Anolis sagrei: one gene and its partners. The protein of the gene in region 3 interacts with the protein of the main gene of each other region in a pairwise test. Links are inferred from orthologs where the notes say so. Each region holds a gene or a part of one and is shown on either strand. Other genes may lie near its edges. The genes, in order: PSME3, NME1, NTAQ1 and FTH1.

Region 1 (8,238 bases), on a different chromosome or scaffold from region 3:
CAGATCCATCATTGTTTGAGTCCACAGTGCTCTCTAGATGTAGGTGAACTACAACTCCAAAACTCAAAGTCAATGTCCACCAAACCCTTCCAGTATTTTCTGTTGGTCATGGGAGTTATGTGCTCCAAGTTTGGTTCAATTCCATTGTTGGTGGAGTTCAGAATGCTCTTTGATTGTAGGTGTGAAGGATGCTAAGCGAGGGGCTTTGAATGAAATTAACAGCCAAAGAGAAACAGACCCTTTCTGTGTAGAAAAAGAGCAACACGGAAGAAAATGTTTTTAAGAAACAAGATGTGACATGTAGAGGTCGGAAGTTGTATTGTGGTTAAGTTCAAAGGTTGTTTTTTGAAGCGCAGAGTCTGCAGGTACAAGAAGGTACTTTCTATCAAAAGGTCAAGGGAGGGGGCTGGAAAGAGAGTACTTTCCATGACAAAAAATGTTCTTATTTACTTGAGGTTATATATTGGTGGTAAAAACCCAAGGAGAGGCGGCAGTCACTGCGTATGCTGTCAGGCTGTCCGTCTTCTTCATGAAGAAACTAAAATAAAACCTTGTTCTTTGATCTTTTTTTGGGACTGTCTCCTTCCTTTCGTGCTCCCGTGATGTGGACCTAAGAAGACCCAATTTAGGGTCTCTAAGAGGTGAACTAACATCCCAGCAACTACAACTCCCAAATGACAAAATCAACCCCCCCCCCCAACCCCACCAGTATTCAAATTTGGGCATATTGGGTATTTGTGCCAAATTTGGTCCAGTGAATGAAAATACATCCTGCATATCAGGTATTACATTACGATTCGTAAAATGAGCAAAATTATAGTTATGAAGTAGCAACGAAAATAATGTTGTGGCTGGGGGTCACCACAACATGAGGAACTGTATGAAGGCATTGTGGCATTAGGAAGGTTGAGAAACACTGTTATAGAGTCTATCAGCAGGTGTAGGTTTACGACACCCTGTGATTATTCTACATGTTTTGTTCAGTGCTATATTCACCTGCTTCGCGTTGACAGAGTTGTGCCAAACAGGGCAGCTGAATAAGACAGAGCCAGGGATGATATAAGTTTCTGCAGGATGTACTGTGTGTAACTACTTTGTGCTTGGTGTTCGCAGTGTTTTCCTTTATCCCAGATCAGGGGTCTTCAAACTTTTAAAACCGAGGGCCAGGTCACAGTCCCTCAAACTGTTGGAGGGCCGGATTATAATTTGAAAAAAGCATGAATGAATTCCCATGCACACTGCACATATCTTATTTTTAGCGCAAAAAATACTTTAAAAATACAATAATTAAAATGAAGAACAATTGTAACAAATATAAACTTATTAGTATTTCAATGGGAAGTGTGGGCCCGCTTTTGGCTGATGAGATAGGATTGTTAGTATTATTGCTGTGTGCTTTCAAGTCAGTTCAGCTTTAGGATGACCCTGAGCGAGGGCCGGGTAAATTACCTTGGAGAGCCATATCCGGCCCTCAGACCTTAGTTTGAAGACCCCTCCCAGATTATCTGGCAGTGCGGACTGACATAATCCAGTTTAAAGCAGAAAACCTGGCATCAGATCCTGGGATATAGGGCCCGCCTGGAAGCGCCATATATTCCAGCTCAAAGCAGATAATTTATTTTCTGGTCCCAATTCAAGGTGCAAGTTCTTACCTACAAAGCCCTGAACGGTTTGGGACCCGCCTACTTCCATGACCGCATTTCTGTATATGAACCCATACGATCTCTTCAATCATCTGGAGAGGCCCTGCACTTGCTCCTGCCCCCTTCGCAGGCGCGATTGGTGGGGACGAGGGAGAGGGCCTTCTCGGTGGTGGCCCCCCGACTCTGGAACTCACTTCCCAAGGACATCAGGCATGCCCCATCATTGGCAGTCTTTAGGAGGAGCCTGAAAACGTGGCTGTTCCAGTGTGCCTTCCCAGAAAAGAAAATTCCCAGCAATATGTCCTCAGAATGCACTTTACTACTGGTTTAGGATTGACTGCGCTCCCTCATCTCTTTTAGAACCCAATATATCCTCCCTCGTTCATGCCCAGCATTTATTTTTTAAATTTTTAAACTATTACATTTGGCCCGGCCACAGGTTTTTAAATCCTTGTGTGTTACTGTTTATTGGTTATTGTTTATATGTGACTAGCCGTCCCCTGCCACACATTGCTGTGGCCCACATGGGGTTCTGTGTGGGAGGTTTGGCACAATTCTATCGTTGGTGGGGTTCACAATGCTCTGATGGTAGGTGAACTATAAATCCCAGCAACTACAACTTCCAAATGTCAAGATTATATTTTCTCCAAACCCCACCGGTGTTCACATTTGGGCATATTTAGTCTTTGTATAGTGTTTGGTCCAGATCCATCATTGTTTGAGTCTACAGTGATCTCTGGATGTAGATGAACTACAACTCCCAAACTCAAGGTCAATACCCACCAAACCCTTCCTGTATTTTCTGTCGGTCATGGGAGTTCTGTGTGCCAATTTTTGTTCAATTCCATCGTTGGTGGGATTCAGAATGCTCTTTGATTGTAAGTGAACTATAAATCCCAGCAACTACAACTCCCAAATGACAAAATCAATTTTTTGAGTGAAGGACATACATTGGGTTGTTAGGTGTCTTGTGTCCAAATTTGGTGTCAAGTCCCCCAGTGGGTTTTGAGTTCTGTTAATCCCACAAACAAACATCACATTTTTATTTATATAGATTTATTATATTAATTGTATTGTACTTATTGTTTTTTGTTTATTGCTTTTTGTTTTTATTGATGTGTTGTTGAGCTTGGCCTCATGTAAGCTGCTCCAAGTCCCTTGGGGAGATGATGGCGGGGTATAAATAAAGTTTATATTATTATTATTGTATTGTTGAAGGCTTTCATGGCCGGAATCACTGGGTTGTTGTAGATTATTATTTTTTTTTGGGTTATATAGCCATGGTCTAGAGCAGGGGTCCTCAAACTAAGGCCCAAGGGCCGGATGCAGCCCTCCAAGGTCATTTACCTGGCCCTTGCTCAGGGTCAACCTAAGTTGATGTGAGGGCAATCTGGCTGCGACATCTGTCACCCCATTGATCGCCAGGATTGATTTGGCTGATCTGGCTGCCTAGGCGGGTGCCCCCTTCCTCCCTCACCGCTCCAAAGTCATTTACCCGGCCCTCGCTCAGGGTCAACCTAAGTCTGAAACGTTTGAAAGCACACAACAACAACAACAACAACAACAACAATCCTATCTAATCAGCCAAAAGCAGGCCCACACTTCCCACTGAAATACTAATAAGTTTATGTATGTTAAAATTGTTCTTCATTTCAATTCTTGTATTGTTTTAAGCGTTTTTTGCACTACAAATAAGATATGTGCAGTGTGCATAGGAATTCATTCATGCTTTTTTCAAATTATAATCTGACCCTCCAACAGTTTGAGGGACTGTGACCTGACCCTCTGTTTAAAAAGTTTGAGGACCCCTCCTCTAGAAGCATTATCTCCTGATGTTTCTGTGTACCATGCAGCTGTGGACAAGTCTACATAGGGACCACCAAACGCAGCATTCCCCAAACACGAATCAAGGAATATGAAAGGCACTGAAGACTACTCCAACCTGAGAATTCAGCCATAGCAGAGCACCTGATGAACCAACCTGGACACAGCATTTTATTTGAGAACACAGAAATGCTGGATCACTCCAACAACCACCATGTCAGACTACACAGAGAAGCCATTGAAATCCACAAGCATGTGGACAATTTCAACAGAAAGGAGGAAACCATGAAAATGAACAAAATCTGGCTACCAATATTTAAAAAAACTCTAAAATTGCAACAGCACAACAACAGAGAGGAAACAAACAAGGACATATAATCACCTCTCAACAAAAGTTTGCTCCAGGCACTGTCTGCCCATTATTATTATTATTATTATTATTAACTTTATTTGTACCTTGCTAGCATCTCCCGAAGGACTCGAAGCGGTTTACAAAGGCCAAGGCCTCAAAACACAACATAACAATACAAAACCTAAGCAATTTAAAAACAATTAAAGCAATATTAAACAACAAGCAATAAAGAATACACCAAGACACAATAAAACTGGGCCGGGCCAGAGTAATGGGTACAGAATTAAAAAGTGCTGGTGTGACAGGTGATATGTAAGGATTATAGGGTAAGTGCAGTGTGCAGCAATCTTAATTCTAATAAAGTGTTTCTGGGACTTGTTATTGGAGTTTTCCTATTCTGGAAAGGCTAATCAAGGTGGTCAGTTGAAACATTCACACCTAGCTCCAGCAGACAAGACTCCTTTGTCCCACCCTGGTCATTCCACAGATATATAAACCCATTTCCTAGTTCCAACAGACCTCACTACCTCTGAGGATGCTTGCCATAGATGCAGGCGAAACGTCAGGACAAAATGCCTCCAGATCATGGCCATATAGTCCGAAAAAACCTACAACAACCCATTATTATTATTATTATTATTATTATTAAGCTGTTTGGACAGGGCCTTTGTTGAATTGGTTGAAACTCTATGAGACATTCATTGAAAAACTACAAGATGTGCTGCAGGATGTCCGACAAAAACAAAATTTTGACAGTTTAATAAACTATTTCCATATTTTTATGATAGAACCAATTAGGAAATGACATTTATAACCCAGGGACAAAAATCGTTGGAGATACTTTATAGATCCTTCAGAGTCACCTTCAGACACCAACCACATGCCAAATGGTATCGGAAACTCGCAAACAATGTTTCAGTCTTTCCTTTCTGTTTCTATGTGCTCCGGCTTCGTTTCTCCAGAGGCCCCGCCCACACAATCGGAAGTGGCTTGGCTGCCCCTTCAGCGCACGCGCCTTCTAAAGGAAGAGGGGCGGACGACAAAAGGCATCGTGCGAATCACGTTGGCCGGCTAGGCGTTCGGTGATTGGTCCAGGCGGGGTGGCTAAGAAGGAGGGGGAGGGGGGAGGTTATGCCGTCACATCCGGCAGTGGCGAAGCCGGTGGTTTCCTTGGGTGGTCGCGCGCGCGCGGGACAGCAAGAGACGGCTCTGGTTCGGGAAACCGGCTCCCCCGCCCCGCCATGGCCTCCCTCCTCAAGGTGGACCCGGAAGTGAAGATCAAGGTACGAGAGAAAGGGAAGAGCCGCTTCCGCCACGGGCGGGCCGTGTCCTTAAGCATGTGCAGAGCGCCGGGAGGCGGCTGGGCGTTCCCCAGCCAGGCTGCGGCTGACGAATAGGGCCAGGACGAGTTGGATGCTGCATGGAGCTGAGGCACCTTCTGCACAGTTGAATAAAACCCTACTTTTATCTGCTTTGAACTGGGATATGTGGCAGTGTGGACTCAGATAATCCACTTCAAAGCAGATATTCTGGGATATATATATAGTTGTGTGGAAGGGCCCTGAGCTAATAGTTCCTCTCGCTGAGCAGCCTGTGGAATCCCTTTTGATCTGATGAACTGTGGTTTAGGGATATTATTATGATGCTCTTTTGGTGCATCTGCACTGCAGAGTGAATGCAGTTTGACACCACTTTAACTCTCCTGCCTCAATGCTATGGAGTTGTAGTTTAACAAGGCCTTCTCTGGTCCCTTCTACACTGCCATATAACCCAGATTATCAAAGCAGATAATCCACATTATCTGCTTTAAACTGGTTCATATAATAATAATAATTTTTTGTCGTGTCAGGAGCGACTTGAGAAACTATTAAGACGCTTCTGGTGTGAGAGAATTGGCCTTCTGCAAGGACGTTGCCCAGGGGACGCCCGGATGATTTGATGTTTTTACCATCTTTGTGGGAGGCTTCTCTCATGTCCCCGAATGAGGAGCTGGAGCTTATAGAGGGAGCTCACCCACCTCTCTCCGGATTCGAACCTGCGACCTGTTGGTCTTCAGTCCTGCCAGCACAGGGGATTAACCTACTGCGCCACCGAGGGCTCCATAATAATAATAATAATACATTATTTATACCCCACCACCATCTCCCCAAGGGGACTCGGGGCAGCTTACATGAGGCCAAGCCCAACCAAAATACATCAGTAAAAACAACAAAGCAAACAAGCAAGTAAAACACAATACAAATATTATAAATAACATATAAGCAGTAACACACAAATTTAAAAACACAGTGGATTAAACATTTTACAACACTGGACGTGAATAGAATGAGGGTATGTCTAAACGGGGGATTTAGAGGATAATGTAGGGAGATCAATCCAACGGATAGTTAAAGTGCTTCAGAGGACATATTGCAGAAAATTAGTTAGATCAGGGCATTATTTCCTTTATTCAGGGAAGGCACACTAGAACAGCCACTTTTTCAAGCTCCTCCTAAAGCACTGGCTCTCAACCTTTCTATTGCCACGACCCCTTAATAGAGTTCCTCATGTTGGGGTGACCCCCAACTATCAAATCATTTTCATTGCTACTTCATAACTGCCTTTTTGCGACAGATATCAGTTGTAATGCAAATATCTGATGTATTTTCATTTACTGGAACCAATTTGGCACAAATACTCAGTACACCCAAGTTTGAATACTGGTGAGGTTGGGGGGGGGGGATTGATTTTGTCATTTGGGAGTTGTAGTTGCTGGGATTTATAGTTCACCTACAATCAAAGAGCCTTCTGAACTCCACCAATGGTGGAATTGAACCAAACTTGGCACACAGCACTCCCATGACCAACAGAAAATGCTGGAGGTTTTGGTGGGCATTGACCTTGAGTTTGGGAGTTGTGGTTCATCTCCATCCAGAGAGCACTGTGGACTCAAACAATGATGGATCTGGACCAAACTTGACACAGATACTTAATATGCCCAAATGTGGACACTGGTGGAGTTTGGGGAAGAGAAACATTGACACTTGTGAGTTGTAGTTACTGGGATGTATAGTTCACCTATAATCAGAGAGCATTCTGAACCCCACCAATGACAGAATTGGGCCAAATTTCCCACACAGAAACCCCATGACCAACAGAAAATACTGTGTTTTCTGATGTTCTTTGGTGACCCCTCTGACACCTCCTCACGACCCCTCCAGGGGTCCCAACCTCCAGGTTGAGAAACACTGCTCTAAGGACTGCCAATGTAGGGGCTTGTCTGATATCCTTGGAAAGCGACTTCCAGAGTCAGGGGGCCACCATAGAGAAGGCCCTCTCCCTCATCCCCACCAGTCGTACCTGCGAAGGGGGTGGGAGCGAGAGCAGGGCCTCTCCAGATGAGATCAATCCAACAGGTAGATAAAGTGCTTCAGAGGACATATTGCAGAAAATTAGTTAGATCAGGGCATTGTTTCCTTTAGTCAGGGAAGGCACACTGGAACAGCCACTTTTTCAAGCTCCTCCTAAAGACTGCCAGTGTAGGGGCTTGTCTGATATCCTTGGAAAGTGAGTTCCAGAGTCGGGGGGGGGGGGGCACCATAGAGAAGGCCCTCTCCCTCATCTCCACCAGTCACAACTGTGAAGAGGGTGGAAGCGAGAGCATGGCCTCTCCAGATGATCGAAGAGATCGCATGGGTTCGTAAACAAATGCGGTCACGCAGGTAGGCGGGTCCCAAACCGTTCAGGGCTTTGTAGGTGAGAACATGCTCCTTGAATTGGGACTGGGAACGTGAATGGCAGCCAATGGAGCTCCTTAAAACAGGGGGTTGACCGCTCCCTGTAAGTCTCTCCAGTTAGTAATCTGGCTGCTGCCCGTTGGACCAGTCAAAATTTCCGAGCTGTCTTCAAGGGCAGCCCCACGTAGAGTGCATTGCAGTAAACCAATCTGGAGGTGACTAAGGCGTGGACCACCATGGCCAGATCATATGAGTCTACACTGCCATCCAATCCAGTTCAAAGCATATAATCTGGATTTTATATGGCAGTGTAGAAGGGGCCTTACTGTTTGAATTAAGGGGGCAGATTTTACCTCAAGGTTTTCCTATTGTTGTGTTCCCGGGTGCAGGTAGAGGAGTGTTTCTAAACTGTAGAATTGATGCAGTATGACACCACTTTAATTGCCATGATTCAAGGTTATGGAATCCAGAAATGTGTTATTTGGGGAATCACCAGCACACTTTGGCAGAGAAGGAAAAATATCTTGTTAAGCTACAAGTCCCATGATTCCATAGCATTGAGCAATGGCAGTTCAAGTGGTGTCACACTGCATCAATTCTACAATGTATATGCGCCCCAAGATGTTTATTTTATTATTTCACTTGTTGGAAAGGTGAGTATACTACATTTTTTCATCAAAAGTTGTTACAACAACTTTTACAG
Region 2 (8,290 bases), on a different chromosome or scaffold from region 3:
ACTTGGAGCTGGAAGTAACAGCTTCTGAGCCTGAAATTAGCTATCCTAAATAGCCAGAAAGTCACAGAGGTAGCAAACTTTGTGGAAAGAAGACAAGAAAGAGTGAATATAAGATCTCAACACTTTTACCAGAAACACTTGGCAACTGGAACACACAGCTACAATCTGCTGCTGGACTATAAATTCCAGCTGTATGTAACCTTTTTTGTTGTTGTTGTCAACTGACCTTCATGGTGGCAGCAACAACCCAGCTCTAAATCTTTGACTAATTTTTCCCATGTGACCTAATATTTGCTTCTTTGTAGACTACTCTCTTGAACTTTCCCTGATGGACTCCTTTGATTTATCACTTTTGTGTAGCTCTTGAACTGCTTGATCTAGAGAACACACTCTACTCTGCTGGTAATTCTGGCTTGGATTTTCAGAGAAGAGAAACACACTTCTCTGACTTTTGGCCAAAGTTACAGCCCTGTCTTTGCAGCAATTAATAGTTTTTTGCCTCCTGTGTCAAAGACAGCAGTAAAATAGGATTAGACTTTGGCCAAAAATAATGGAAAAAATCTCACCACTTGGATGTCCTTTCAAATGACAACAATGCAGTTTTTAAAAGGCAGCAAAGCTCTTACAGCACAGACCATGTGCTTTACCACAGATAGAAGGGAGAGGTCTCATGTGGTCCTTTTACTCTGCCAGATGCCTGGTCTGTGACGCATCACTCACAGATACATACAGATGAGAGAGACTCTGTGAGGAGAATCTAGAGAACCCAGCCTTCAGGGGTTATCAAACCGCAACTCAGTGGAACAGTACAGACCTATGTTGGAGAGGTCACAGGTTTGATGTCTCAGTTCAAAGAGATTTGAGTAAGGCAGCCCTGTGCCACCCAGGCGAGTATAAGTCGGGAACAGGTCACACTCTAATCCTATTTTACTGCTGTCTTTGACACAGGAGGCAAAAAACTATTAATTGCTGCAAAGACAGGGCTGTAAGAAAAAAATATTCTTTAAAAGGGATGGGAATGTTCTCTTCCAGATGAACTATCTGCAGGGTACTATACCTCTTTTTTTCATTTTGCAATAAATTTTTATTGAAGACATACAATAAGTTATAATCCACAGAAGTAAACAAGAATAAAAACACCATACATAAGGTAACAAGAAAAAAGAAGTAGAAAAGAAAAGAAGAAGAAAAGAAAAAAGAGAAAAAAGGGAGAAAAAAGAAAAGGGGGGGGGGGAGAAATACAAAATAGAATATATATATATACACACACACACACATGTTGACTTCCATCTACTTCTTGGTGCTGGTCTCATAATAAGTTGTTACACATAAAACCTCATATTGATTTGCAACACTGCTTTTTAAAATTAATTACAAAGCTGCATGCTTTTCAAACCAATTAGAGATGTGGAAGTCTAGTGAGCAAAAATGGACAAAGGGGGCTCTCCCCTTTCTAAATATATCAATATTCCAGAGTGGAAAAATACATTAAAAGTAGTGCAGGATAAAATCCCTATGAATGAGGGTGAAATAGAATTTTAAATACAAGGTTTGGGGGTTTAAAAGCACCCCCAATTCACTAGAGTTTTAAAAAATGTTGGAAAGCTTTGGTGGGCCCCTGGAGGGTGGTCCTGTAAGCAGGGGCGGCTCAACCCATTACGCAAAGTAAGCATTTGCAGTATAGTTGATTTTGCCCAGGGGCGCTCTTGAGGCGCTCTTCGGGGAAAATAGACCTTGACATATGTGAGTTGTAGTTACTGGGATGTATAGTTCACCTACAATCAAAGAGCATTCTGAACTCCACCAATGATAGAATTGAACCAAATATGGCACACAGAACTCCCACGACGAACAGAAAATATATATCAGTGATTGGTTGGGGGGGGGGGGGGGCAAAATACTATTTGCTTACCGTTGAAAATTATCTAGGGCTGCCTCTGCCTGTAAGTCACATTCAGAGGGCCTGCATGTGAATGATAGCCTACATATTTCCCCCCCTAATTAGGAAGTACAATTTAGGTGTCCAAGGAAAAGGGGCAGGGTACCAACAAGCTACCAACAAAATGTAAAATAGAACAAACGTAAGAGTTCTAATTGTGAACAATTTTCACTGACATACTCTTCAATGGGTTGCTGTGAGTTTTTCAGGCTGTATGGCCATGTGCCAGTAGCATTCTTTCCTGACGTTTGGCTCACATCTGTGGCTGGCATTTTCAGAGGTCCGTTGGAAGTGAGGTAAATGAAGTGTGTGTGTGTCTGTGGAATGTCCTGTCCAAGGTGGGAGAAAAAACCCTTGTCTGTGTTAAGCAAGTGTGAATGTTGCAATCAGCAAGCTTAAATAGCATTAAGTATCCATGAAGATGCAAAATCAATTGATGAGGGTGTCAGCATAGGACATCTGTGGTTGGCCAAAATCACTAGACAAAGATGACAATTGAGAGGCATTGTGTACACATGTCAATCAGAAGCCAGTTTCTGCTCTTGATCTGATATTGTCAGCTGATACCTGTCCAGCTGATTGTCTCCATCAGGCTAAGAGATGGTTGGCCATGGAAACAGGGACTCAAAGTATGTATACTCATTTGAATTCCTTTATTTGACACCCAAGGCCTGATTACGGAAGATCATCACCTTTTGTCTCAAGACCCTTTGCCCCTGTTTTTCCCAGAAAACTTCCTCATTCAAGGACTCATTTACATTTCCTGATATGGACAATTAACTTTCTGGGGCTTGACTCCCTCTGGGAGAGCCACTCACCCACCCAAAAGCTGATTGGCTCTCCCCAAGCCAGGCCCCATAATTTTCTCCCCCCCCCCCCCACCAGAGAGTCTCTGACTAGAGGCAGAAATGTCACAGAAGTGCCAGCCAATCAGAACACTAATTTAGACTGTCCTCTCTGCTGACCAATCAGGAAGGGGAGCAGACAGAGCGGGAAGTCTGAATAGCTGTCAACTGTATAAAAACTCATGTCTCTGTATTGCATGTTATGCTTGTACATTTTGGCATCAGCCCTAGTGGCCTGATTGCTAATAAAACTCTGTGGCTGTCTTCACTTTGTCAGTGTGTTCTTCAATTGGGAACTTCAGGTTTTAGTGTAAATGCTTGCCAGGCATGGACCCTCTATATCTGCAGTCCTAGTCTAAATTTGACTTATCTTTGAAGCTCTTCTGACAGCGATGCCCCAATACACAGATGCTAACAAGTGCAGAGAAAAGGGGTTTACTCTCAACATCTTTGTGAAGGCCTCTTTGTGAGTTAATTGCTAACTCCCCCAGTCTTTTTTCCAAAAATGTTGTTTGTCAATCATAGAGTTTTAAGACCAGAAGGAAGGACCATCCAGTCCAACCCTCTGCTTTGCAGAAAGACACAATCAAAGCACTAATGACAGATGGCCATCCGGTTTGTGTTTAAACCTCTCAAGAGAAGGAAATTCCATCACACTCCTAGAAAGCATATTCCACCGACATGTTAGATTCATATTTTATTGTTTATCTAGTATGACCTTAAGCAGCAATATTTTATTAATGGGAAATGCTGAGAAAAAGTTACTTGTCAGAAGTGATGAGTTATCGATGGAGAACATCTCTCAACCAGCTTGCAGAATAAGATCCAAATGAGAGATGGTTCTTATTTTGCTGCATGCCTTTAAAAAAGGTGAAGAGACAGTTGTGGCCTGGAGAAATACACAACTAATGTTCATAATTGTTTTAGTGGTAGAATGAAAGAGACACGCAAATACTGTAGGTACGATAAATATCCACACATACACACACAAACACTTTATAGAGTGATTTGTATTAGCAGACACAGCCACTTTGAACTTATGCTGGCACTAGCAACTGGGGCGTTAAAGGGCAAAGGATAAAAGGATCAAGAGTGTTCACAGGAAGAAAAAAAGGCAGAGGATCAATCCAGTGAGAGGATTAAAAGACAAATATCAACAGGCTGATGTATAAATAAATATTATAAAAAGAATGTGGAAAAGGGATAAGAAAAGTGAGGAGACTGAAATTATATTAATGACTAGCCGTCCCCTGCCAGGCGTTGCTGTGGCCCAGTCTGGTGATCTGGAAAATAAAGTAATGGTTTCTAATCTATGTAATTTCTTTATGCTTGTGGGTAAACAGTATTTCTTGTTGTTTCTTTGGTTCAATTCCATCATTGGTGGAGTTCAGAATGCTCTTTGATTGTAGGTGAAATATAAATCCCAAGAACTACAACTCCCAAATGACAAAATAAAAATATTGAGTAAAGGACATGCATTGGGTTGTTAGGTGTATGCTGTCCAAATTTGGTGTCAATTCTCCCACTTGTTTTTGAGTTCTGTTAATCCCACAAACAAACATTACATTTTTATTTATATAGATATGCATTTTTTTAAAAACTGAGAGGCTATTTTTTGTACAAGTTAAGAATGTTGGTCTAAAATTTGGAAGGTCCAGCTGCAAGATGTTACTGAGCCATGAACTTCACTGAGTAACCTTCTGATGTATGTATTCTTTTCTTATTAAACGTTGCTAGAAAAACTCTCAGATGGGTTGCCATATGTCAGAGTTGACTTGAAAGCACAGAACCACCACAAATGGCTACAGATAGCTATCTTTAGCAGCAGCAACACTTGTCCCATTGCATCACTGATTAATCTTTGGGTGTATCTACACTGTAGAATGAATGCAGTTTGACACAACTTTAACTGCCATGGCACAATACTGTGAGATCATAGGATTTGTAGTTTTCTATGGTCTTATGCTTTCTCTGCTAAAGAATGTAAATGTCTCATCAAACTACAAATCCCATAGTTCCACATTACTGAGCCATGGGAGTTAAAATTGTGTCAAACTGCCTTAATTCTACAGACCTTGTTGATTTTGGTGGGCAAATGAGCAGCCTGAATGTCTGTTACATAGAAATGTACACAGCTGTCCTTAAAAGCAACAGCAGATGGCGTCCACTGAGTCAAGAAGTTAGCCCTACATTTGGCAAAACCCCCAAAGAAGAGATGACACCAAAGCAGCCGGCTAATGGACACGTGGGGTCCAGCCTTCTCTCCAAAAGAGTCCAGCTGTGAGGCTGGGCTTTCGCCAGGCTGGGGGCTGCAATAACCCTACCACAGCCGCCAACAGAAGCAGCTCAGCAGAAGCAGCAGGAGCAGCAGGAGCAGCAGCTTTGTAGCAGGTATGATGGATGGATGCTGAGGGGATCCTAAGGTGTTTCTGGTAACAAGGCATGGAGAAGCTATAGAAAAAGTAGTAGAAGCTTATCAATAGGAGTGCTTAGGGACTCAACATTTGGCTGGATTTTCTATAGGCAGAAAAAATGTCAAAAGCACATAGGTATTTGAGGAATATGCTCTGAGAAATGTCAGATGAAATATTATATGACTACCCAAGATCATTGGTGTTGAAGCTGTAGGAGGAGTGGAAGCATGTTCCGTTCTGTACAGCCATTTGAGGTCTGACGAGTGATCGAATTTAGTGAGATAAACTGATCATATGATATGGCAAGTACAGTTTATAATAACATAATTCCTATTTTTATAATGCTCTGTTCCTAAACACACTTCACCAAAATAAGTTTAAATTAAATCAGCAGAATGTTCAAAATGAATTTGTTTAGAAACAGGGTATGAGGACAGTGGAATATATAAAATATAATAATCTATTCCGAAGCATTGTCTTATGTAATTACTTTGGGACTATGTGAAAAATGAAATAAAGTTATTACATTTTGACTCATGAACTATAGTCGGTATCTTTGATCCTGTAGGGGAACAACTTTTGGATATCATAGTTTTCTCTTAATTTCTCATAATGTTATTATATGAACCTATTGATTGTTCCCGATATCTAAATTAGGATTATTGAATAATTGTTTCAGATTATTTATTGCTAGATCTCTATTACGATGTACCTCTTAATTTACATAATTATTTATATAACTGGGATGCTGGGAGCTGTATTTGGGGGCTTGTGTCGTTTTAAAATGTAGTTTTTACACTTTTATGCTTCATTGCACAAAAGATGTCATTATTATGGTTTTAATTGTGGCATGTTGTTTATTATTGGCTGCCTTGGGTCCCTATATAGGGAGAAAGGCAGGATAAAATGTAAGTAAGTAAGTAAGTAAATAAATAAATAAAAGTATATTTTCTCATGCAAGTGATTGTATAGCAAGATGATGATGATATAATCTTCAAATTATTCATCTTCCAAACATTGTATGCATTTGGTATAATTTTGATTTGAATATTCTGTATACACTTGTACCTAAACCATTCCACTGATGGTTCTCAGTGTAATACTATACCATAGTGCTGCGGCAGACTGTGTTCGTACCATCGAGACATGTAGCCGGATTAATCCTTGCTTTCTATTGCAGTAGAACAATGAGTGAACGCACTTTCATAGCTATCAAGCCTGATGGAGTGCAGCGAGGCTTGGTTGGAGACATTATCAAGCGATTTGAACAGAAGGGATTCAAACTGGTAGCCATGAAATTCATGCATGTAAGTTGTCTTTGTTTCTGTCACTTCTAGTCAGATAGTCTATTATTCTCATTAGAAATACTTGTTTGCCCATAAAGTTTCCTGATCATTTATGCAGCACTTAACATTGCTAATTTCTTCCACTTTTCAATTAATTCTTTTTAATTAACTATTTTATTGTTTTGACTTTATTTATTTTATTGTTTCTAGTAGTTGGTTTTATTCTCTCATTTTCACTGTAAGCCACTTTTGAGATTCTGAAAATATCAAAGGTCATTAAAATGCTCATTGGTTCACCAATTCAAGCAAATAAATCCATCCTTCTCCGAGATAGCCTTATATTTTGGAATCTTTCCAATACCTGGCAGATGATAAAGCCACGCTGAGTACTCTAATTTTAGTAAGTGGTGGCCTTAGTCTGAAAGGTGAGTCCTCCAACGTAGATTTTAAACTTAAAGCTTTGGCTGTTCTTGGAGCTGCAAAAATCAGTAAACTGGTGTCAGCAGAAAACATATGGACAAACAAACCAAAATAAATATTTCGGACTGGTATTGGGTAGCCCCTCTTCTAATACAGTGCTGGGACCAGTCTTTGAAAAGGATGCATGCAATTTAAGGATTAACACTGCCCCTGTGGCTAATGTTATGTGACATAAGATGCTCTTAAGTTCTTATGCTAAGCATTTTGTTCCTGCAGGCCTCTGAAGATCTCCTGAGAGAACACTACATTGACCTGAAAGATAGGCCATTCTATGCTGGTTTAGTTAGATATATGCACTCTGGACCTGTTGTAGCCATGGTAAGTCTTCATATATACGCTTACTGAAAGTTTTAGAATGAGGCAAGTTATCTAGATTATACTTGACTTATATGTGTGTGTGTGTGCACGCATATGCATTCAAATTGCCTGCCAATTTATGGCAATCCCCTTAATTCCATAGGATTTTCTCAGGCAAAGAATATTCAGAGATGGCTTCACCAATTTCTTCTACTGAAATTTGCCTACATCATCTGGTATTTGTTGGTAGGGACAGATTCTGCCAGTAAGAACTACAGGAATAGCTGCTTTCTCTTGTAAGTGATTTTCCAAGCTCTAATGCTCTGGTTGTCAAAGGCAGGAAGGTTAAACTATCTGCTGAGAAATACCCATGCCAATATCTTTTAGTTCTAATAGCCTGTCTGTAGAATTCAAAGACATAGCCATGCCAGTCTGGAATCTTGTAGTATTTTAGAGACTAACGGAGCAGCCCCAGTTAGTCTCTAGTCGCCTCAGGGTCAACAGTTCTCAGAAATGATTTGATAACACAACAGCAACAAAGCATAGCTTTAATAGACGAAAAAGCTCTTTGTTGCGTGGCAAGGACAGGGCCTGTCATGTGCCATCGGGCAAAGCATGGCAGTCCCTGCCCATATTCCTCCTGAAATGGAGTGGAAGCACCAAAAGACGCTTCCTCCTCCATTCTGGGGAGGAAAGTAGTTTGGGTAGCTCTGATGGAGGTACCCGGACTTTCCTCCCCTTTCCCTTTTTGATAGGGGGAAAAGGTGGAGGAGGCCACCCTTCGTCTCACCTAATGAGCTGCCCCACGCGCCTTTCTTTTGCTGGCAATTGCTGGCACAACGGCACGGACCAAAAGAGCCGTGTGAAGAGATAGTCTATCTACTTCTTCAGATGCACGTGTGTCCATCTGTGATAATTCACCACAGATATGAGTGACCACAATATGGCTAACTGGTTTGTGATGGTAAAAGAGAGGGACTAAAGCACATAGATATGTTATTACTGAGGTCAGAGAGTTAATCTGTTTCT
Region 3 (7,846 bases):
CAACTAAGGAATAATGGCCATGATGACAGATAATCCTAGGAACTGTAATTCAAAAAGTAACATTTCCAAGCTTAGGGTAAAAACACTGTACTACTTAACAAACCAGGATCCAGCTTTTGTTTTTGATATTGTAAACTTCACATTGCTTTTCGGATTCAGTTCTGTACCACAACTCACCATCCTTCTATCATTAGAAATGAAAACAGCATAAAATTCTTCTAAAGGGTACTGATTCTGCCTCTGGATGTATTCACAAAGTTTCCACACATTTTCTTCACTGTAAAACAAAACAGAAACATCACATTCACATTTTTTTTCTTCTGACAATATAATTTTAATATTCAGTATGTTTACTTACATCAACTTCAAAGAGTCAGATTAAGGATTCTTACTCATATCCATTTCCATTTCTAAAAGTTTGGCCAAATCTCTTTTTAAAAGCTCTGTGAGCATGTACATGCACATGTTAGAACCAGAGTTGACTTTTGCTAAGATTTATACTTATCACATACACCACTGTATGGAAAATACAGTAGATATACAGAAGGCCAAGAACCAGCTGTCTCTTCTTACCCCACCCTATGCATTGGCTGAATTAAATACAAGGACACTACCAGCATTATGTAGTAATTTGAGTATTGGGACGAGAACACTGGGAGAGCAGGTTTGACCTGGAAACCCACTGACCACTAGCAAGCTTGATACGTTTTAATCATTTGAAAGATTACTTTAATTGATATGTATATTTATTACAATTTTATAATGTTATGTTTTACTGATACTGTTATTGCCTGAATCTGGCACTGAATTATTATCATAGTTTGTAAGCCGCCCTTAGCCCCCCTTCAGGGGTGAGATGGGTGGGTATAAGTACAGTAAATAAATAAGCTGTATCATCTCGGCTCAGGGGAAGGCAAAGGCAAGTTATCATCAGCACTTAATGAATTGGCATATCCTGTAGTAGTATTTAGATCGTGTAATGAATGCCTCTCATGCCACTTCAGAAATTCTCATCACAGAATCATAGAATCATAAAGTTGGAAGAGACCTAATGGGCCAGCCAGTCCAACCCCCTGCCAAGAAGCAGGAAAATTGTATTCAAAGCACCCCCAATATGGCCATCCATCTGTTTAAAAGCTTACAAAGAAGGAGCCTCCACCACACTCTGGGGCAGAGAGTTCCACTGCTGAACAACTCTCACAGTTAGGAAGTTCTTCCTAATGTTCATGTCGAATCCCCTTTCTTGTAGTTTGAAGCCATTGTTCTGAGTCCTTGTCTACAGGGCAGCAGAAAACAAGCTTGCTCCCTCCTCCCTATGACTTCCTCTTATGTATTTATACATGGCTATCATGTATAATCTCAGCTTTCTCTTCTTCAGGCTAAACATGCACAGCTCTTTAAGTCTCTCCTCATAGGGATTGCTCTCCAGACCCTTGATCATTTTAGTCACCCTCCTCTGGACACATTCCAGCTTGTCAATATCTCTCTTCAATTGTGGTGCCCAGAATTGAACACAATATTCCAGGTGTGGTCTGACCAAGGCAGAATAGAGGGGTAGCATGACTTCCCTGGATCTAGACACTATACTCCTATCGCTGCAGGCCAAAATCCCATTGGCTTTTTTTGCCACCACATCACATTGTTGGCTCATGTTTAACTTGTTGTCCACCAAGACCCCAAGATCATTTTCACATGTACTGCTCTGGAGTCACACATCCCCCATTCTGTATCTCTGCATTTCATTTTTTATGCCTAAGTGGAGTATCTTGCATTTGTCCCTGTTGAACTCCATTTTGTTAGTTTTGGCCAATCATCTCTCTAATTTGTTAAGATCGTTTTGAATTCTGCTCCTGTCTTCTGGACTACTGGCTATCCCTCCAAATTTGGTGTCATCATGGAGAAGCACCTAGATAACATAGGAATGTCAGTCACTTTATCTGTGTTGCCTAAACCATTACACTGAACATGAGTCAACAGCAGCAGCTTAAAAAAGCTCATACAATTCTAGGCAGCATCAATAGGGCAATACTGCACTTGAAGGATCTTGGTAGCCTCGGGTGCAATTGGGTGGGGATGTGTGGGTGGGGGTGTGTGTGGGTGGGGGTGTGTGTGTGTGGGGGGGGGAAGAGTTGAATAAAAATAAGGGGGCGGTGGAAGCACAAAGAATAAAGAGAATTTTGACAAAAATGTTCATAGTATCATCTGTTCTGTAACAGAATAAAAAATGTTGTGTTTACTTTATTTTCCAAATAGAATCATAAGTTGGAAGAGACCTCGTGGGCCATCCAGTCCAACCCCATTCTGCCAAGAAGCAGGAAAATCGCATTCAAAGCACCAACAGATGGCCATCCAGCCTCTGTTTAAAAGCCTCCAGAGAAGGAGCCTCCACCACACTCTGGGCAGAGAGTTCCACTGCTGAACAGCTCTCACAGTTAGTAAGTTCTTCCTCATGTTCAGATGGAATGTCCTTCCCTGTAGTTCAGTGGTTCTCAACCTTCCTAATGCCGTGACCCCTTAATACAGTTCCTCATGTTGTGGTGACCCTCAACCATAACAAAACTGTCATTTTGCTACCATTATGAATCGTCATAAATATCTGATATGCAGGATGTATTTTCATTCACTGGTCAAAATTTGGCACAAATACCTGATATGCCCAAATTTGAATATGCGTGGGGTTGGTTTTGCCATTTGGGGGTTGTAGTTGCTGGTATTTATAGTTCACCTACAATCAAAGAGCATTCTGAACTCCATCGATAGTGGAACTGAACGGAACTTGTCACACAGAACTCCCATGACCAACAGAAAATACTGGAAGGGTTTGGTGGGCATTGCCTTGAGTTTGGGAGTTGTAGTTCAAATACATCCAGAGAGCACTGTGGACTCAAACAGTGATGAATGTGAACCAAACTTGGCACAAATACTCAATATGCCCAAATGTGAAGTTTGGGGGGAAAATAGACCTTGTCATTTGGGTGTTGTAGTTGCTGGGATTTATAGTTCATCTACAATCAGAGTATTCTAGACCCCACCAACGATAGAATTGGGCCAAAACTTCCCACACAGAACCCTTATGACCAACAGAAAATACTGTGTTTTCTGATGGTCTTTGGCGACCCCTCTAACACTCCCTCACGACTCCCCCCCCAGGGGTCCCGACCCCCAGGTTGAGAAATGCTGCTGTAGTTTGAAGCCATTGTTCCGCATCCTAATCTCCAGGGCAGCAGAAAAAAAAGCTTCCTCCCACCTTCCAATGACTTCCCCTCACATCTTGATACATAGACCTCAGCATGTCTCCTCTCAGCCTTCTCTTCTGCAGGCTAAACATGCCCAGCTCTTTAAGCCACTCCTCATAGAGATTGTTCTCCAGACCCTTGATCATTTGAGTTGCCCTCCTCTGGTCAGATCTCAGCTTGTCAATAAAGACACGAGATGCATGTTATAATCTATGTGTTGATGTATGTACTGTATTTTGACTGTGTGGGACGGGCCTGTGTATTCCTGCATTGGCAGAATGGGGTTGGGAGTGATGAACGGCCTTTCTCTGGGGCCTCTTCCAAGCCTTACCAATAGCAGCTGGTGTAGACGCACCCAGGCCGGTCTGAGGCTGCGGGCCGGTAGGCAGGCGAGGCTGAGGCTGCTCCAAGCCCGAGAGCCTGCTGCTCCATCCGGGAACCCACGGGCCTGGCGATGGGGGAGGCTTGGGGGGCTCATTTCCCCAGGAAGGAAAGCTGGGCAGGAAGAGAGGAGCGAGCCGAAGAGGAACCGGAAGTGGCAGCCTGGCTTGGAAGGCGCGCGCCCCAAGCAGAGGAGAGGGAACGGGCGCCATAAACAATACCTTCCCCGGGAAACACGGCACAAGAAGTGGGGTTCCGGGTCACTGTGTTGCTTCTTGATTGAAAGCAAAAATTAAGGAAGGGAGGGAGGGAGGGAGGAAGAGTGCATATATGTATATATCATACTAGCTGTCCCCTGCCACGCGTTGCTGTGGCCCAGTCTGTTGATCTGGAAAATAAAGTAATGAGAAAGTGTTGGTTTCTAATATATTTAATTTTTATGCTTGTGGATAAACAGTATTTCTTGTTGTTTCTTTATCAGTGTTTATGTGGAGAGTGTCTGGTTTGCCTACTCTGGAACATGCAAGATATCATTGTCCTTCTTTAAGGGTCCCTTTCAAATCTATGATACTATATCTCTCTGTGTGTGAATCATCTCTCTCTCTCTCTCTCTCTCTCTCTCTATGGCTGGATGGCTCTTTGTCAGGAGGACTCTGATTACGTTTTCTTGCCCTGATGAAGGGAGTTGGATTGGATGGCCTTAAGTATTTTCTGTTGGTCATGGGGGTTCTGTGTGGGAAGTTTGCCCCGATTCTGTTGTTTGTGGGGTTCAGAATGCTCTTTGATTGTAGGTGAACTGTGAATCCCAGTGACTACAACTCCCAAATGTCAAGGTCTATGTCCCCCAAACTCCATCTATGTTCATATTTGGGTATATTGAGTGCTTGTGCCAAGTTTGGTCTAGATCCATCATTGTTTGAGTCCACAGTGCTGTCTGGATGTGGGTGAACTACAACTCCCAAACTCAAGGTCAATGCCCACCAAACTCTTCCAGTATTTTCTGTTGATCATGGGAGTTCTATGTGCCAAGTTTGGTTCAATTCCATCATTGGTGAAGTTCAGAATGCTCTTTGATTGTAAGTAAACTATAAATCCCAGCAACTACAACTCCCAAATGACAAAATCATAAATTTTTGAGTGATGGTCACTCCTTGTGTTGTGAGACGTTTTGTTGCCAAATTTGGTGTGATTTCGTTCATTGGTTCTTTTGTTTTTAAGGTACTCATTATGCACAGAGCATTTATATATAGATAGATAGATAGGATTCATCATATGTCATATGTAATGGGATAAAGGAATGGGAAAGGTTTCACCAGCTTAAGGCTGGCAATCTAACATCCATATCCTCTTCTATATAAATAAAAATGTAATGTTTGTTTGTGGGATTAATATAACTCAAAAACCACTGGACGAATTGCCGCCAAATTTGGCCACAAGACACTTACTAACCCAAGGAGTGATCATCACTCATCCTCACTACCTCTGAGGATGCTTGCCATAGATGCAGGCGAAACGTCAGGAGAGAATGCCTCTCTAGACCATGGCCATATAGCCTGAAAAAACCTACAACAACCCACTCAAAAATTGATTTTGTCATTTGTGGGTTGTAGTTGTTGGGATTTATAGTTCACCTACAATCAAAGAGCATTCTGAACTCCATGAAAGATAGAATTGGGGCAAACTTCCCACACAGAACCCCTATGACTAATAGAAAATACTTAAGGCCATCCAGTCCAACTCCCTTCACCAGGGTAAGAAAACGTAATCACAGCCCTCCTGACAAAGAGCCATCCAGCCATAGATATAGATAGATATATACGATTTACACACAGAGAGAGATATAGTATCATGGATTTGAGAGGGACACCTAAAGAAGGACAATGATATGTTGCATGTTCCAGAGTAGGCAAAACAGACAATCTCTACATCAACACTGACAAAGAAACAGTAAGAAATACTGTTTACCCATAAGCATAAAGAAATTACATAGATTAGAAACCAACACTTTCTCATTACTTTATTTTCCAGATCACCAGACTGGGCCACAGCAACGCATGGCAGGGGACGGCTAGTCTATATAATAGAATGTTTGTTTGTGGGATTAACATAACTCAAAAACCACTGGGTGAATTGACATCCAATTTGGACACAAGACACCTATCAGACCAATGAGTGACCATCACTCATAAAAACATGGAAAAACACAGCAGAAGACACTTAAAAAGCCAAAAAACACAAAATACATTCCAACTCATGTGCAAAACCATATATATATACACACATATATACAAATATATACACACCCAGAGAGGAAGGGAAAGAAGGGGAGAAAGAAAGGAGAGAAAGAGGGGGGGGGGGGTAGTTGGCCACAGCAACGTGTGGCCGATACATCTAGTATCTATATAAATTAAATTTTAATGTTCATTTGTGGGATTAACATAACTCGAAAACCACTGGGCGAATTGACACCAAATTTGGACGCAATACACCTATCAGCCCAACAAGTGACCATCACTCATAAAAACACTGAAAAACACAGCGGGAGATACTTAAAAAGCCAAAAAATAAAAGTTACATTACAATGCATTCGCAAAACCACATATATACACATATCTCATAGTTTGTGGCAGCCACAAATACAAAGTTTCTGGAGTGTAGCAACTTCTTTCAAAGGATCACACAATTAAACAGGAAGTAACATTTTCAATTCAGGAACACTTTTTTTCAAATTTTGTTACATAGTGTAATTTTACTTTTTAGTTAGCATTCCTTGTGCCTGGAGGTGGATTCCAGCATTGTTAAAAAACACATAAACATTGTAAAAATTCTATAAAAAGGTAAAGGTTTCTTTTGATATTAAGTCTAGTTGTGTCTGACTCCGGGAGGTGGTGCTTGTCTCCATTTCTAAACCAAAGAGCCGATATTGTCCGTAGACGCATCGCAGGTCATGTGGCCAGGATGACTGCATGGAGCGCCATTACCTTCTCACAGAAGCAGTACCTATTAATCTACTCACTCTTGCTGGGCCTAACGGGGAGTTCACTCTGCTCCTCATTTGAAATGCCGACCTTTTGGTCAGCAAGTTCAGCAAATCAGCGGTTTAACCCACCAGGGAGCAGGTATTCTATAAATACAAATTAAAATGTATTTCTATAAAAGATGCATATTAAATTGCACTTCTATAAAATACATATTGAAATACACAGAGCAAAGATTAAAATAATATGTAACATATATACCTGGGAAAAGCTAGTTTTACCAGCTTTTCTTCTCTGCCAAACTACAAATCCCAGTATCCCACAGGATTGAGCCAGGGCAGTTAATTAGAGTGGTGTCAAACTGTATTAATTCCATAGTATATAGATGTACCCTGAGAGATAGCATCCTGGGAGTTGCAGTTTGGTGAGGCAGCAGCACTCTCTGATCAAACAGGTGAAGCTTTTCCTTGAAGAAATGTTGAGGAAAGTCCCACCTCTTGGTGAAGTTGCAAGGATTTTAATGGTCTCCAAAGGGGAAGTGACTTGTGGAAGAGAGAGCTGGCTTTCCTTCTGGTAACATTACAGACTCTGCAACTGCTTTGAAGTATTCCTGGACAGAGGTAAATTTATCTTAAGAATAGCTTTCCATAATAATAATAATAATAATAATAATAATAATAATAATAATAATAACAACAACAATAATAATTCCCTCAGTAATAACCAGCAACCCAATAATAGCCAGCCTTTTGGAGACTTTACAGACTCTGCAACCACTTTGAAGCACTCCTGGACCAAGGTGAACATACCTATAAGAATGGCTAATAATAATAGCTAATAATAATAATAATAATAATAATAATAATAATAATAGCTATATGATTTGGGAACAGGAATGAGTTCTGCATAAGGGTTTTAGGGAAACTAATACCCAAGAAATAATTTCTGCCACTTTCTTCCTCTGAAATATAGACTCCTGTAACCTAGTAATAGTTGGGGTCTGAATCCTGGAGAAAGGCAGGTTATTAAATCTAATAAATAAATAGTTGTTGAATGCTTTCATTGCCAAAATCACTGGCTTGCTGTGAGTTTTCCAGGCTCTTCTGATGTTTCACCACTATCTATGGCAGGTATCCGCAGAGGTTGTGAGATCTGTTGAAAACAAGGCAAGTGAGGTTTATTTTGGGAATTTGTATCCTGCCCTATCTCCGCAGAGGGACTCAGGGCGGCTAACGTATCTCCCTCTACGTC
Region 4 (8,138 bases), on a different chromosome or scaffold from region 3:
ACCTTTTAACATTACAACTCCCACGATTCCATAGCACTGAGTGATATCAAACTGCACTAAATCTACACTGTAGGTGCATCCTTAGAGGTGTTCACACAATTCCCTTCAAACATAGAAGATGAGAGAGGGTTGTGTCGAATAGCACCAGCCTCCTGCTGCCAATGCACATGCTAGCACCGTCCACATCTAATCTGCACATCTGGCACATACAAGGAGAGGTCTCTATATGTTAGAGTTCCTTCAAGTACGAGGAGATCAGGATGAGCCCAAGGCATTTCCTTATCTGAAGCAAACAATGTTCATTCCAAATTAAGATGGTAGTACTTGAGAAATTATGTTGGTAATTAACTCAGGCAAAAAAATCTCATGCCGTTTTTGATAACAAATACAATAAAAGAAACAATTATGTTCTGACAACCTGGCACAGACTTGGGTGCAAGATCCTGTCCCACTCTATGGAGTCTAGCCCAGAAGCTTTCACGTACATCATGTGATACAGAGGTTGCTGGGGGTGAAAAATGGACCTCAGAGCACTTGCAATGCCTAACAATGTTTTTGAGTCTTTTGGAATAGCGTTTTTCAGGCCAAAAGAGGAGAATTGCTGCTTCTGAAAGAGTTCAGGTACAACAGTTTACCTTCCAAACAGGTTACAAGGCACAGTAGAAAACAAAGACATAGCTGTGTTAATCTGGATTGGGTTGCTGTGAGTTTTCCAGGCTGTATGGCCAGGTTCCAGAAGCATTCTCTCCTGATGTTTCGCCCACATCTATGGCAGGCATCCTCAGAGGTCTGCTGGAAACTAGGCAAGTGAGGTATATATGTCTGTGAAATGTCCAGGATGGGAGAAAGAACTCTTGTCTGCTTGAGGCAAGTGTGAATGTTGCAATTGACCATATTTATTAGCATTTAATAGCCTTGCAGCTTCAAAACCTGGCTGGTTGCTGCCTGGGGATCCTTTGTTGGGAGGTGTTAGCTGGCCCTGATTGTTTCATGTCAGAAATTCCCCTGTTGTTTGAGATCATGAAAGCTTTCAACAACACATTAATCTGGACTATTAGTATTCCAGAGCAATACAGCTATGTGTTAGTTTTTTGTTATGTGATGAACATAACATATGTAGCTTTCCTGTCAATCTTGTCACATTTGCCTGACAAAAAAGGATTTCTCACTTGGGAACTTCCATTTCACAACTATGTGAGTGTGAGATTTTGAAACTTTGAAAATGTCAGGAAGGATAGAAAGAGATGCCCAGTTGCATAGTATGCCTCTCTGGAAAACATACTTTCTGGCACCCTTAAGCAAATGTATATATATGTATTTGGAAACATACATATATATTGAAATTCTTGGGCAGAGTGTGTAACTGGACCTCACAGATGCAGCTTGTTCATTCTGGCTTGCTGCCTACAATACAGACAATTAGGGCTGTGTATGCCACTGTTTACAGTCCTCCTATCGAGCAGCACACTACATTGCAATCCTATAAACAGGTTTTTAATCCTTTTTTGTGCGTGTTGCCAAATTCTGCTCCGTGATTATCTAACCTGCAAAACCCATAAACTCCTTTCCCTGCTACAAAGTAAAATGTAGTAACAAGCAATTTAATCAATAGTTGTAAAATTCAAAGAAGGACATTTGTAGTACAGATTGAGTATCCCTTATTCCAAATGCATGGAACCAGAAATGTTTTGGATTTTTTTGGGGGGGGGGGTGACAGACATGTATTTGCACATATCATCATTTGCACATATCATCTTAAAGAAAGAATATACATTTTATATATATCTTATACCCAAAGGTAATTTTATACACATACATTAGCGTACATAGCCACTGTTGCCCAGGTGTAGGAGGAGCTGGTGCCCCCTTGCTTTCATTCCTTTCCCTCCTCTCATAACTTTCCCACTTTTCTTTCGCTTCCTTCCTTCCCTCCTTTTCCTTTCTTCTCCCTCCCTCCCCCCTTCTCCTCTCTCTCTCTCTCTCTCTCCTCCCTTTGGTTCTCCTTCTCCAGCCTACCTCACAATGCTCCAGTGGCGACACAGCTGTCTTTATGGCTCCTTCCTTTCTTCCTCGCTGCCCCTCATATATGTCACCTTTCTTTCCCAGTGACATAACAAAGAGCCACTGAATTATCACTGAGCAACAGACCCTTCATACACGTTACCTTTCTTTCCCAGTGACATCCATGAGAGCCACCTAACTCAGCCAATCCAGTGATATCACAGAGGGCCACTTCACCTAGCAATGGCCTTTGTGGTACAAACAGACAAACATCCACATGTTGACTTTCATATATACAGTAGATAGATATTTTTAATAGCTTTGCTCATGAAACAAAGTGCATGTATGCTGAACCGTTAGAAAGCAAAGGTGTCACTATCTCAGCCCATCTCTGTGGACAAATTCAGATTTGGGAGAATTTGGGAATTTGGAATCCCAAATAAAGTGTGCGCAACCTGTAATAGCTAATACTGTATATTACTCCTTATCATTACAGAGCATGATCGGAAAATGGTGGAAGCATTTTCAGAAATCCATTCAGGATGCTCCTGGGAGCTCAATGGTTCAGTGGAGCCCAGAACTGAAAAACAATACTATAAAGCAGGCCTGGGCCAACTTGGGCCCTCCAGGTGTTTTGGACTCTAACTTCCGCCATTCCTAATAGCCTCAGGCCCCTTCCTTTCCCCCCTCAGCCGCTTAAATGGCTGAGGGGGAAAAAGAAAGGGCCTGAGGCTGTTAGCAATGGTGGGAGTTGGAGTCCAAAACACCTGAAGGGCTCAAGTTTGCTCATGCCTGCTATAAAGGAAATGTTACATTCCCTTGTATTTGTGTCACTCTTCTTTTGTGAATAAATATCAAAACAGAATAACATATTTTTGAGGTAATAAAAAAACACTTTTGATCCAGATGTACAAAAACACATCTTTTCTTGTGCTTCCAGTGGTCACTAAACGAATAAACAAATCCACACAAAGCAGGATGAAGTAAGCGAAATGTGGACTGCCACCAGCACACTGCCACACACTTTTGGGAAGACTGGATTTTGCTGGGTTTGCTAAAACAGGAGGCAACTTTATGTCAGTATATTTCCAGCCTCTGAGCAGGAATTTATCACTCACATCATCTGTAGTTACCTAACACACTGACTTCTGAAGTAATGTTATTGTGCCTTTAGGTGTTGCATTGTGCAGAAGTTTTCATCAGTGGCAATATAATTGGACAGCGTTTTCATCAGTTTCATAATTGGACAGCGTCACTCAATCAAAAGTGATTTGAGAACCAATTTATAAGAACATTAACATAAAGTAAAGGTAAAGGTTTCCTCTGACATTAAGTCTAGTTGTGTCCAACTCTGGGGGGTGGTGCTGATCTCCATTTCTAAGCTGAAGAGCTGGCACTGTCCGTAGACAACTCCAAGGTCATGAGGCCAGCATGACTGCATGGAGCGCCATTACAATCCTGAAAGTCAAAAATGTTCCACATTGGTGGTCCATTTTGCAGAACATGTCTTTCTTCTCTGTACAGGTTGCGAATCCCTCCTCTAAAATGCTTGGCATCAGAAGTGTTTTGGATTTTGGAATATCTGAATATACATATTCATGGAGATTGCATTCAAGTCTAAATCTGAAATTCATTTTTACTTGATTAAATAACTTATAATATTATTTCAGGAAAAATGTGGAGTGGGTGGAGGGAGGAGGGGTGGGAGTGAGAGGGTAGGGGAGGTGAAGAAGAGAGGGAATATATGTGTGTGTGTGTGTGTATATATATATATATATATTAAATTAAATTCATTTATTGTTTAAGTGCCTCGCGTTTCTGTTCTATATGCCTCACAAAGAATGCTGTGCTGGAAACAAAGTTTGCAAACATGGAACCATCAGGAAGCAAAGGTGTTGCTGTCTCAGGATGCATCTACACTATAGAAATAATGCAGTTTGACACCGCTTTAACTATCATGGCTCAAGGCGATGGAGTCATGAGAGGTGTTGTTTAACACAGTCTTTGGCTTTTCCTGCCAAAGAGCGCTTGGTGCCTCACTAAATCCCAGGATTCCATAGTATTGGGACATGGCAGTTAAAAGTGGTACCAAACTGCATTAATTTGACAGTGTAGATCAGGCATGGGCAAACTTGGGCCCTCCAGGTGTTTTGGACTCCAAGTCCAAGTTGTGGGACTTGGAGTCCAAAACACCTGGAGGGCCCAAGTTTGCCCACGCCTGGTGTAGACACATCCTAGAGCAGGCATGGGCAAACTTGGGCCTTCCAGGTATTTTGAACTTCAACTTCCACAATTCCTAACAGTGGCTGTTAGGAATTGTGGGAGTTGAAGTCCAAAACATGCCTGCTCTAGAGGAACATTTAAGGCATGTCTGAAGCGCTCTTCCTCCAAATCAACTTCTTCCGACGAAGCCTCGCAGGAATCAACAAGGCGCAAAACCTGCTGAGTCATGCTTACTCTGGAGGCGCGTGCCGGGATGTGTGTACGAGTGTGCGCGCGGGCGGGGCGAGGGAGGGAGGGAGGCAGGGAGCGAAGAGCGCGAGATCCTCAAGGAGAGCCTCGCGCCCGTCCCTTAGCGAGCCTCCATTTCTCCCCCCTCCCTCCCACCGAGCGGAGGGCGTGGCTTCCCTTAATCTCGGATTGTGACGCAGCTCGGGGCTATATATAGAGACGACGTCAAGGTGGCCGGGCCAGAACGCTCTGCGCGACCTAGCTGAGGAGGTTCCCGCTTCAACAGTGATTGGACGGAACCCACTCCCGCTCGGCCGCCGCCCGCTCGCTGCCTTCCTTTATCTATCTATATCCATCAATCGATCCATCCGCTCGCCTTTGTGCTGCCATGGCCTCGTCTCCTTCCCAGGTGCGCCAGAACTACCACCAGGACTGCGAAGCCGCCATCAACCGGCAGATCAACCTGGAGCTTTACGCTTCCTACGTGTACCTCAGCATGGTGAGCCCTGGGAAGGAGAGGGGCGCGTGCGTGTGCGCGTGCGGTGGGCAGGCCTCGAGAGAGAGAGAGCGGGAGAGCGCGCGCAATGGAGCGCTGGAGGGCCAAGGTCCTGCCGCCTCTTCCTCGGGTGCCGCGCATGCGCCTGGCGTGCCCTTGGGAGGCGCCTTCCCTCCTGGACTTCGCCCCGTCCTCTCCAGGAGGGATGGGAGTAAACAGCCACGGCTCCCAAAGAAATCTCGCCTTCTACTGCCTTTGAGGCCCGGATGGGGATGACACAAACCACTGATACGCATTAAGAGCGTTCTTTCGCATTATTTTGTGCGCGTTAAATGGTCAGTGTAGATAGGGCTTAGTCTAGCTGTGGATTCCCCCCATTCACATCCTTGAAGTTCTCCTGAGATAATAGTATGTCGAGGGTCTTAATAGCCAACCTGCAGAGTGTTTGGAAGAGAATAAAGTACACCTACAATGTGAAATTAATGCAGTTTACCGCCGCTTTTAATTACCATACCTTGTGCTATGGAATCCTGGGATTTGTAGTTTCCCAAGGGTTCTTAGCCTTCTCTGGCAAAGGGAAATTTGTCTCACCAAACTATCTCTCCCGGGATCCCATATCATTGAGCCATGGCAATTAAAGTAATGTTGAACAGCATTTATTGTACAGGTCAGATGCACCTTATGGAAGAACCCTGCCTTGCAATCAGTTTCCCCTCTCCCATTAGGATGGGTTAGGCAGCCACAATCCAGCTGCTCTCTCCAGAGATTTTTCCTGGTTGCTTTTTTGTGGCCAAATGCTGCAATGCAAAGAGGAACTGTCTTGTGATGAGCTTGCTTACTTCTCGAGTATTGCAAGATAACTGCGCCACTGGCACACTGCTTGCTGTTGAGTCTTTTTATTCCACTGGACTGTTTTGAGGTAACTGAAGAGTGGGGAGGGCCCCCTGGTGGCACAGCAGTTGAACTGCTGAGCTGAACTTGCTGACCAAAAGGTTGGCGGTTTGAATTGGGGGAGCGGGTTGAGGTCCAGCTGTTAGGCCCAGCTTCTGCCAACCTAGCAGTTTGAAAACATGCAAATGAGTAGAACGATAGATACCGCTTCTGTTGGAAGGTAATGGCACTCCATGCACTCATGCTGGCCACATGACCTTGGAGGTTTCTATGAACAACACCAGCTCTTCAGCTTAGAAATGGAGATGAGCATTCCCCCCCCTCCCCCTGCGGGGTCGGCCATGACTAGACTTAATGTCAGGTGAAACTTTTACCTTTACTAAAGCATGGGGAGGGAGAGTGTTTACACTTTTGTGGTGGGGACCTTGATAAGAATTGATATTGGCTCCTGTTTGCCATTTGCCGGCGCCTGTTTGTTTGCAGAAGCCCCAGTTCTTATCTCTCCAATAAAGAGTGATTGTACTTTAATTGACTTTGGACCTTTTCTCTGGAACATTTGTTTGCATTTGTTGCATTTGTTGACCGCCGTTCTCAGCCCTAGGGCGACTCATATAGCTTTCATATAGCTTGGTTGTTTTGAACACAGCTAAAGCCATTTCCCCAAGTTACTGTTAACTTATATGGTGTGTGGTTGTAAACCTATCAGCATAAATGTGGCAAACATATTTTGGCAGATGTATGTTAAAATGTATTTTTCCAAACACTGGAAGAGCTTACTGATCGAATCCACATATACTCATAAATTAGTTGACCATATGTGGAGAGAGGAAAATGCCAGCAGGGCTAGACGTTCCTGGCCAACTGCGGCCCCCATTTTCCCTTCAAAAAGGCCCTAAATTATACTATGGCTGAGAGAATAGAGGGGATCAATAGTTCCTTTAGGTTTTCCCAGGATAGACAAATAAATGCCCTTTTCCACTCTATTCAGAAAAGAGGATGTTTCCATTTCTTGCTTTTGATAAAGCTTTAAAGTATAATACTTTGACTCATGGATGGTGACCCAGATTTTTTTTTTGGGTTGACTTCTGAATAAATTTTCTAGACTCACATATGATTAAATGCAGTACTTGGAACTCAGTAGCTTTAAAAATGAATTTATTGACACTGGCTGTCAAGGGGTAGTCCAGCTCTTGTTGCTCTGGAGTTCTTTGTGATGTAACATTCACTGGAATACAGATTTCAATTTATGACTAATAGTCAAGGGGAATTGTAAGTGATATAACATACACTTATCTCAAAACCGTTTGTCTGGCAGATGGTTTCTAAAATGGAATGTGCTTCTCCAGCTCTCTTCAACCTGTTTTTGTGGCCTAAACTGTACATTTCACAGAGGTAGCAAGACTGATTAGAGCAGGGATGGAAAACTTTGGCCCTCCAGGTGTTTTAGACTTCAACTCCCAGAAATCCCAACCAGTTTACTGGCTGTTAGGAATTGTGGGAGTTGAAGTCCAAAACACATGGAGGACTGAAATTTCCCTGTGCCTGGATTAGAGGTTCAAAAACTCATCGAAGTAATGTAACAATTTGATACTTAAAATGAGTATTCAGAAATGTTTGATCGCTTGACTGTTGGCAATTTCTTTCCAAGCCAAAAATATCAGTATTGACTACCCTAACTTGCTGAGCTCTTAGAATTATTAAATCCCCTTTTTCTGTTTAAAGGGCAAACTCTCACCTTAGAGGCAAAGCAAGTTACCTTGTTCTCCCTGTTCTGAAGTGATTTTCAGAACTTACTTTCTAGGGGATCTACCAAAAGAAAAAATGACAATTAGACTTGTAACTTTGGTTCATCTAAAGGAGCACTGGGCAAAGTTGAAAGTTCCAGATATCTTTGGACTGCAGCAGTAATCATTCCTTACCATTTGTGGCACGGGTTGTTCTTAGTTCAAATCTATCAGTTTGTCCTCTTTTCCAAAGTCATAGTTCTGTATTTTGCATTAGAAAAAGATCATAGCAAGACCTAACACAGCCAGTTTGACAGGCTTGTTGTGCAGCAGTTGTATGAGACAGCAAATGGTAAGAAAATATATGACCAGATCAGTAGCAGAAAGTTCTGAATAGTTGCTGCAGATAGTTGGATCTGCTTCCTTGACAGTCCTAATCTAGAACTCCCTGCCTTCTTTTTCAGTCCTATTATTTTGACCGTGACGATGTGGCCCTGAAGAACTTTGCCAAGTACTTCCTGCACCAGTCCCACGAGGAGCGTGAGCATGCAGAGAAACTTATGAAGCTCCAAAAC

The links.
Region 1: the proteins of NTAQ1 (region 3) and PSME3 interact in binary tests that used the Homo sapiens proteins (3 or more experiments, as listed by UniProt). The two-hybrid records come from large-scale screens. The link is inferred for Anolis sagrei from reciprocal best matches to the Homo sapiens genes NTAQ1 and PSME3.
Region 2: the proteins of NTAQ1 (region 3) and NME1 interact in binary tests that used the Homo sapiens proteins (3 or more experiments, as listed by UniProt). The two-hybrid records come from large-scale screens. The link is inferred for Anolis sagrei from reciprocal best matches to the Homo sapiens genes NTAQ1 and NME1.
Region 4: the proteins of NTAQ1 (region 3) and FTH1 interact in a two-hybrid assay, tested with the Homo sapiens proteins (2 studies listed by BioGRID and IntAct). The two-hybrid records come from large-scale screens. The link is inferred for Anolis sagrei from reciprocal best matches to the Homo sapiens genes NTAQ1 and FTH1.

The regions. Positions count from the first base shown.
Region 1 is NC_090026.1:50,212,717-50,220,954, reverse strand, and holds the start of PSME3 (proteasome activator complex subunit 3), read left to right. Parts: upstream 1-4,852; 5' UTR 4,853-5,060; coding exon 5,061-5,102; intron 5,103-8,238. UniProt on the Homo sapiens protein: Subunit of the 11S REG-gamma (also called PA28-gamma) proteasome regulator, a doughnut-shaped homoheptamer which associates with the proteasome. 11S REG-gamma activates the trypsin-like catalytic subunit of the proteasome but inhibits the chymotrypsin-like and postglutamyl-preferring (PGPH) subunits.
Region 2 is NC_090022.1:114,433,231-114,441,520, reverse strand, and holds the start of NME1 (nucleoside diphosphate kinase A), read left to right. Parts: upstream 1-4,919; 5' UTR 4,920-5,175; intron 5,176-6,378; 5' UTR 6,379-6,385; coding exon 6,386-6,505; intron 6,506-7,180; coding exon 7,181-7,282; intron 7,283-8,290. UniProt on the Homo sapiens protein: Major role in the synthesis of nucleoside triphosphates other than ATP. The ATP gamma phosphate is transferred to the NDP beta phosphate via a ping-pong mechanism, using a phosphorylated active-site intermediate.
Region 3 is NC_090024.1:20,445,305-20,453,150, forward strand, and holds the start of NTAQ1 (protein N-terminal glutamine amidohydrolase), read right to left. Parts: upstream 3,796-7,846; 5' UTR 3,669-3,795; coding exon 3,568-3,668; intron 278-3,567; coding exon 178-277; intron 1-177. UniProt on the Homo sapiens protein: Mediates the side-chain deamidation of N-terminal glutamine residues to glutamate, an important step in N-end rule pathway of protein degradation.
Region 4 is NC_090021.1:237,529,587-237,537,724, reverse strand, and holds the start of FTH1 (ferritin heavy chain), read left to right. Parts: upstream 1-4,675; 5' UTR 4,676-4,840; coding exon 4,841-4,951; intron 4,952-8,027; coding exon 8,028-8,138. UniProt on the Homo sapiens protein: Stores iron in a soluble, non-toxic, readily available form. Important for iron homeostasis. Has ferroxidase activity. Iron is taken up in the ferrous form and deposited as ferric hydroxides after oxidation. Also plays a role in delivery of iron to cells.